Linked DNA regions of Callithrix jacchus. The protein of the gene in region 2 interacts with the protein of the main gene of each other region in a pairwise test. Links are inferred from orthologs where the notes say so. Each region holds a gene or a part of one and is shown on either strand. Other genes may lie near its edges.

Region 1 (4,127 bases), on a different chromosome or scaffold from region 2:
TCACCATATATTTTTGAAAGCAGAGTCAACAGAATTTACTGAAGAATATGAGGCTGAGTGTAAAACAGAGAAGGTTCAGAGACAGGGGAAGTTCTGAGGACAAGAACTTTTCTCTTCTATTGAATGTCATATACCTACCACATAGACAGTGCCTGGTATCAATAAATATTCCTTGAATAAATGAAAAGAGTAATTTATTTGTACTAAACCCATTTTGAACTTAGTAAATAGCAGTTAAAACATCTACAATCAAATGAAGTGTTGTAGCAACCATAATTTCAGCAATTAAGCAGTGAAATGTCTTCCAATCCTTTCCTCCACAAAGATGGAAGTTTACTTTGCTGCATCCCATTGCCAACGACCCAGCACTCCAGTGGTAAGAGAGGCTAGAGGTGGGGGTGGGAGAAACTTCATGGAAGCTGAGTTTGCAAAGCAGGTACATACTTTTTTTTTAACGGTTATTTAGGGTGAGGAGTACAAGCGAACCTAATGTTCCTTCAGGCCACCTACAGCACTGCAACTGTTCCCACATACTTCAACTGGGCATGAAGACGGCTTCCCACTCACTCTGACAGTGTTGCACCCTGTACCCACCGCCCGTCTCTTCAATAACCCAGGGCTAAACGGCACGAAGATCCTCTCTACCGGCTGGTGTGCATTCTGGGCTAGGTCCAGCCAAAAGGCAGAAAGGCCTTCGTGCTGCAGTCTCGGGTGAAGAGACAGGCTCAGTCTGGACGAACTTTCCAGGCCATCGTGAAGTTTTCCCGTCTTGGGTGCATGCGGGCCCCACGCGTCTGCGAGTTTGGGTTAGTGTGTCCACAGGGTCAGTCCCGGTAGCTACTTCGCGAAAGCTTCGAGGCGAGTGTGAGGTCAAGGACTGCGGTGGATGGGTGTAAAAGGCCTCCTTGTCCCCCTGCCTGCACCGTCTGGGGGCAACCCCCAACCCCCGGCCAGCGTTTCCCTTTAACGCGCGTGACCGTCAAGGTCCTCTCGTCCCCCTCAGCCTCGGTTTCCCCCACTTCTCCCTGTCCTTGTCGTCCCTTCCCCGTGGGACGCCCCTCGCCCACCGCGCCACAGCCCGGCCTGCGCGAGGGACCCAGCTGTCACTTTACTTTTCCGCGCCGCCTCTTCACCCCCTCTCACGGCCGGCGGGGCAGCCCGCCGGGGCGCGCGCCCGCCCCCGCCCCCTCGCGGCCGCGCGCCGAAGGAGGAGGGGCGCGGGGAGGAGGGAGGCGCGCGGCGCCGCACGGCCGACGTGGGGCTCGCGCTCTCGCGGTCTCTCCCGGGCGGGCGCCCGGGCACGCGCAGTCGCGGGCGCGCGCGCGGACGGCCGGGCGGCGGCGGCTCCCAGAGGTGGTGGCTTCACTTTCCAGGACTCAGGGGCAGCCACAGCGACAGCCGCGGGCAGCAGCCTCAGGAGCCGGAGCTGGAACGGCCGGGGGCGGCGGCAGCGGCGGCGCTAAGGGTGAGTCCGGGCGGGCGCGAGCGCGGCGGGGACAGGCGTGGTCGGGTGCGTGGTGCGTGGGTCCGGCTTTCGGTGACTAGACGGTCCGCAGGGGACATCCCGTCCCTGGGGCCTCCCTAGGCTCCCCCCGCTCGCGCCTCAGCAGCTCTCTCCCCGGGCTTCGGCTTGAGCCCGCGACCTGCGCGGACACCCCCCTCAGGTATTCGCTCGGGCCGCGCCGGTGCCTCCCCTCCTCGGGCGTCCTCCCTCTCGCGGGCGTCCTCCCCACTTCCCCGACCTCCCCTCCGCGCCGCAGGTCTCTGCTTACACCACTGGCGTCCTAGTTCCCTCCTTCCTCGCTCCCCGTGCCCGGTTCTCTGCGCCCCCTCCCGCGAGCCTCCTGCCCCCGTTTCTCGCCCTTTCTACCCCTCCCCCTCTTTCCCATCCCCCCCCCTTCTGCCTCTTCACTCCCTGTCCTCCTTCTACCCCCTTCCGTTCTCAGTTCCCCATCCTTCCCCACCCTCCCAGCGCCTTCCTTCTCCTGGCCGCATCCTGGAACTAAGTCTTTGCAAAAGTACAGGATAAATGTCACGGTGGAAAGTGCCCGGCTTGATCTTTTGCTATTTTCCCTAATTGCATAATTGCTGCACATGGTGTCTCTCCTGGCGAGTGCCGGGTCTGGCGGCTCCGCCGCCGCACCCCGGTGGCCCGCCCGGAGAAGACCTTGTGGGGTATATTTGTGTGTGTCCTGGTGTGGGGTGTGTGTTGTATTGGTCTTTTGTGATGCCTGGCGCTTGTCACAGTTTGGAACCGAAGCCCATTTTTCTCTGGTCTCTTCTCTGCAGCTCCGCTGGCCTGGTTTGAAACTGGATTCCCTCTGTCCTCTTCCCCTTCTCCCTCCTCCACCCACTTCTCCCCCTCTCTTCTCTCCTCTCTCTGGTAATGTTTTGATCCTTTTGCCCTTTACCATTTCTAATGAAGATAAAGCGTGGCTTCTTGTGGCTTTTTTTTCCCACGACCAACCAGAAATGTCCAATCCATCTTCCGTTAAGGAAATTAAGGTCGCTTTAGAAAGACATCATCCTGTGCTCGGTGGCTGTTAGACCCATTTGCATGTTTCCAAGACTCGTCGTTTTGTATTGTGTGTTCTTGAGAGTCTATTCAAATATTTTTATTTAAAAGTACGAAAGGAAGTGCTAGGGTTTACCCTCAGATTGTCTCGCGGTTCAGAAAGATTTTACGCTCTTCTTAGTATTTAATCCCTGATTCTTTAAAAAGTGTGTTTCTAGATATGTGATAATTCAGTCAAGACTTTGTGAATCTAAATATTTGCCTTTACTACGACAATTTGAATGCACCTTGGCTCTTTGGAGTTCTGTATGTAGGCTGTTGCTTAAAATGGAGTGTTTTCATGTAATGTCATACCCCATTCTCTCTCTCCTGCTGCACCTTTTAACCTCAAATCAGGTGTTCCACTGTTATGTTCTGCATAAATGTCTTTGCAGTTAAATTTAAAGCTGGATATTGCTGTGTGCATATACTGTGTACTATTTTGTTTTATATTTTTGAAAAGTTTAGAAACGTGAGTAGGAAGACAAGATATATATGACAGAATTAAACGCTTTCCTGTTATAAAAGCTCAAGTGAACCCTTGTTTTGCAGTTTCGTACTAGTAGATACTGTTATAAGGCTTATCTGGATGGTAGTCTGAATTTATGGAATGACTGTAGTTGGCTTTATGTAGTCAGTGATACTTCAAGCCAAATCATTTCATTTTTATGGAACATGTGAGTTTCATTCACTGTATGTTGCTAATTTCCAGGACTGTAATTACAACATAGAGTACATAGCTAATACAGGTTTAGTTTGTGTTGAAGAAGGAACAGAAAGTAAGTCTCTTAAAATAGTTTTAGGAAGGACTACCTTACTATTTTATGTTTAAAAATCAAGTTTTACTTTGAGTTATGAAATAAGCATATTAATTTATATATCTCAGTATCTTTGAAACTATCATTGGAGAGTAACTCTTTGTTTCTACCCCTGGGATTTAAGTTTATCTTCCCTGTAGATTAGATAATCGGCTCAGATTAGCTGTTAGGAGTTTATTTTAAAATGCTAATTTAGAAGATAATGTTTAAAGAACTTTAAGTTAGGAATTTTTATTCATTTGTACTTTAGAGAGACATCAATTTTACACTTATGACTAATTAAAATGATTTATAGACTACTTTTTCTTCATGAAAATTTGTTTCACCTGAGTGGTACAACAATTTTTTTCTATACTTTTTCTGTAATCAAGTACTCAAAAAACAAACCCAGGAGAAATTCCTTTTATTAGTAATATTTGAAAAAGAGATGTGAAAACTATTTCTAAAAGTTCCCATAGTGGTTATCAGTGGCCTGAGATGGATTCATCATTTGTAGGTTAACATTTGGATGAAATAAGATATCTTAAGTCAAAAGTGGAAATAATTCTTTTCCTTAATGTAAAACTAGAAATTATGCCTCTTTTGGGGCATTTTTAATAGTATTTTTATTAGTTCTCTAGTGAGACTAATTTTTACTTCAGGCTTCCTTTGATATTTGGCAGTAGTTTATGAAATTTGGGTTTCACATTATGGCTCAGATCGTATCATTGAGTAATCTTTATAAGGAATTATGTAACTATGGCATTATTTGATAG
Region 2 (3,644 bases):
GTAGTATTTGGGCATGACTACCCTGAAAGAGTAGTTTACAGTGTAGCCAGTTATATGCTTGCACCTATATGTATCAGCAATGCAATAAATACAAATTCAGACTGAGATGGATATGTGTCAATGTGATTGAAATACCATAGTAGCTTAGCTGTTGGTGATATGATTTTTTATAATAATCACTTTCGGTAAAATCCTAAGTAAAACAAAATATAATTTTGAGTTTTATTCAGCTATTGCTAAAAAATTCATGTCTAGTAAAACCACGTAAGAATTACTCTGTGCTTATACTGTTAAAATGGCATTCAAGCCCAGGCCTATGTTTTTTAATATCCAGCAGAACAAGGGCCGGGCGCGGTGGCTCAAGCCTGTAATCCCAGCACTTTGGGAGGCCGAGGCGGGTGGATCACGAGATCAAGAGATCGAGATCATCCTGGTCAACATGGTGAAATCCCGTCTCTACTAAAAATACAAAAAATTAGCAGGGCATGGTGGCGTGTGCCTGTAATCCCAGCTACTCTGGAGGCTGAGGCAGGAGAATTGCCTGAACCCGGGAGGCAGAGGTTGCGGTGAGCCGAGATCGCGCCATTGCACTCCAGCCTGGGTAACAAGAGCGAAACTCCATATCAAAAAAAATATATATATATATATCCAGCAGAACATTAGAAAATGTTACAGGTCAATTCACTATGCCGGGTTGTCTCACACATTGGAGGAGTGCTAGCATACTTGTCAGGACTTCCCCAAACATGGAAAACAAGAATATGCGTCCATTTCCAAAATATTTTCAGAGGGAGGTAACACCTTCATTAAGAACCACTGCCCTACAAATACAGTGAAAAAAAAAGAGATTACAGGTTTATAAGAGGAAGAGCCTTTTTGCTTCCTTTTTATCACAGTCATGAATGTTAAACTTACACCCATACATCACCCCTAAACAAACGCACATGCATGCACACACATGTACTCATGCACTCACATACACAAAAAGGCTGTGTTTTATTGAGGGCAACTGTGAGAATATATTTTGTTCAGATGTGCACTGAGAAGGCAGCAGTGGAAAGTGAAGCAGCAAGTGGCCCTGAACTAGAAAGAGCTAGTCAGCCTCTGCTAGGAACTAGCTTGAATCCACAAATGCCATGCTTGTCATCCCCATCCTGGCTTTGCATCCTCACTCTGTCTTCACACTCAGGCCTGCCTTTTGTTCCCTATCCACTTCTAGAATCCCACCCTCTGCTGCTCACTTTGCTTCATCATCAGTTACATGATGCTTGAGGAATCTTTCTTTGGGGAGATCACTATTTGTTTTAGTGGAGATGCAGAAGAGAAGATACACTGATAATTCTCAGAAAGTATTGTGGCTGGTGTTTGAGTCCTATGTTATAAAATTTCAGGAAGGGCTTAAGTCTACTGCTGGCTTAAAGAAATCATGTTTCAAATTTCAAGCAGCTAATTACTAATAAACTTCTGGAACCTGTTCCTGGGGTAGGAATTGCCAATTCTCTGAAGTGACTTGAAACACTTTAACAAGTTCAGCCCTGAAATCTACATATGTATATTTTGTAACAACCCATTATTAAACTCTTAACTGATTCTTATACTTTCCCAGTTGGTTCTCTGGTTTTTATCTGGTGGATGTGTTGCAATATGCAAAGAATGACAACTTTTAACTTTTAGTATTTGTACTTTTCGTTGTGTTGTTTTTGTTGTTGTTTGTTTTGAGACAGAATCTCACTCACCCAGGCTGGAGCACAATGGTGATCATAGTACACTAACTTGAACTCTAGGATTCAAGCTTTGAGACAGAATCTCACTCACCCAGGCTGGAGCACAATGGTGATCATAGTACACTAACTTGAACTCTAGGATTCAAGCCATCCATCCTCTTGTCTCAGCCTTTTGAGTAGCTAAGACTGCAGATGTGCACTACCACACCCAACTACTTTTCTTAATTTTTAGTTGAGACAAGGTCTCATCATGTTGCCCAGGTTGGTCTCAGACTCTTGGCCTCAAGTGATCCTCTCACCTGGGCTTCCTAAGCACTAAGTTTATAGGCATGAGCCTGTACTTTCCTTTTTTGACAGATTGAATTAACTAGAACTTTACAGTCAGTAACAACACAGCTATCTCTGGTATCTGTAATAGTGAATGTCATATCATTGAGTTTTTTATCTTAAATTAAAAATACGTATGTATCCCTAATGGTCACTGCCAAGTCATCAGTGGGGGGTGATGAGGATGGAGCCATTCTTTACAGAAGGAAATTCCAATGAAGCAGAAAATGAGTGTTCTGTTAAACCTTTTTTTTTTATTTATTTGTTTATTTATTTTTAGATGGGGTCTCTATCTGTTACCCAGGCTGGAATACAATGGTGCAACAATCTCAGCTCACTGCAACCTCTGCCTTCTGGGCTCAAGCCATCGTCCCACCTCAGCCTCTCCATTAGCTGAGACTACAGGAATGCACCACCACACCCAGCTAATTTTTCTATTTTTTGTAGAGTTAGAGTTTCACCATGTTGCCTAAGCTGGTCTCGAACTCCTGAGCTCAAACAGTCCAGCTGCCTCAGCCCCACAAAGTCCTGGAATTACAGGCATGCATCACCACACCCAGCCTTTGTTAAACCATTTTCAATGAAACTGGAAGTCTCTGTTAATTCATACATATGGTGGATGAGAGAAAGGCTTCCTTTTAACCCACTGACCCTGCTGATAGAACATCTTCCCTCTTTTCTCAGAGACTAGTGGAAAGTCGCCGACAGCAGATCTTAAGAGAGTTTGAAGAGCTTCATAGGCGGCTGGATGAAGAGCAGCAGGTGTTGCTTTCACGACTGGAAGAAGAAGAACAGGACATTCTGCAGCGACTCCGAGAAAATGCTGCTCACCTTGGGGACAAGCGCCGGGACCTGGCCCACTTGGCTGCTGAGGTGGAGGGCAAGTGCTTACAGTCGGGCTTCGAGATGCTTAAGGTTCGACCTTTGCCCCTGCCTAGCCCCTCAGGTCAAGCGCAGTGTAGCTTTGCACAAGTTGTTCTGTCAGCCTGGGATGCTCATTCTTCTGCTCTGCTTCCCTAAATCCAGTTCTTCTAGGTATACTCAAAGGATTTTTGCTACAGAAAAGCTGATCTGATTTCTCCCATCCCCTTCTAATCATTTTTGTGTTCTTATGTTTTGTCAGCAATTATGTGCTTAATATGTTCTAAAGAAAAAATTCAGTCTTGAGGGAAGTCTAGTCTGAATTAGTGAAAACCTATTTAAAATTTTGTAAATGCAGTTACCATTACTTTTAAGTCCTGAAATTTTATTTATGTAGTGCTGAAAAAGAACAGAAACATATTTTAAAGGATACAGGCATACCTCAGAGATACTGTGGGTTCAGTTCCAGACCACTTCAATAAAGTGATTATCTTGATAAAGCAAGTCACATTAATTTGTTGGGTTTCCTAGTGGAATTGTAATCTTTTTGATGGTGGACGGTCTTGCATCAATATTGATGGATCAAGATGGTGGTTGCTGAAGATTGGGGTGGCTGTGATAATTTCTTAAAATAAGACAACAAAGTTTACTTTTGACTCTTCCTTTTATGAAAGATATCTCTGAGCATGTGGTGCTGTTTAATAGCGTATTATTCACAGTAGAACTTCTTTG

The links. The genes of interacting proteins can lie anywhere in the genome.
Region 1: the proteins of TRIM39 (region 2) and UBE2E2 interact in binary tests that used the Homo sapiens proteins (3 or more experiments, as listed by UniProt). The link is inferred for Callithrix jacchus from reciprocal best matches to the Homo sapiens genes TRIM39 and UBE2E2.

The regions. Positions count from the first base shown.
Region 1 is NC_133518.1:61,540,354-61,544,480, forward strand, and holds the start of UBE2E2 (ubiquitin-conjugating enzyme E2 E2), read left to right. Parts: upstream 1-1,304; 5' UTR 1,305-1,465; intron 1,466-4,127.
Region 2 is NC_133505.1:35,060,268-35,063,911, forward strand, and holds part of TRIM39 (E3 ubiquitin-protein ligase TRIM39), read left to right. Parts: intron 1-2,735; coding exon 2,736-2,966; intron 2,967-3,644.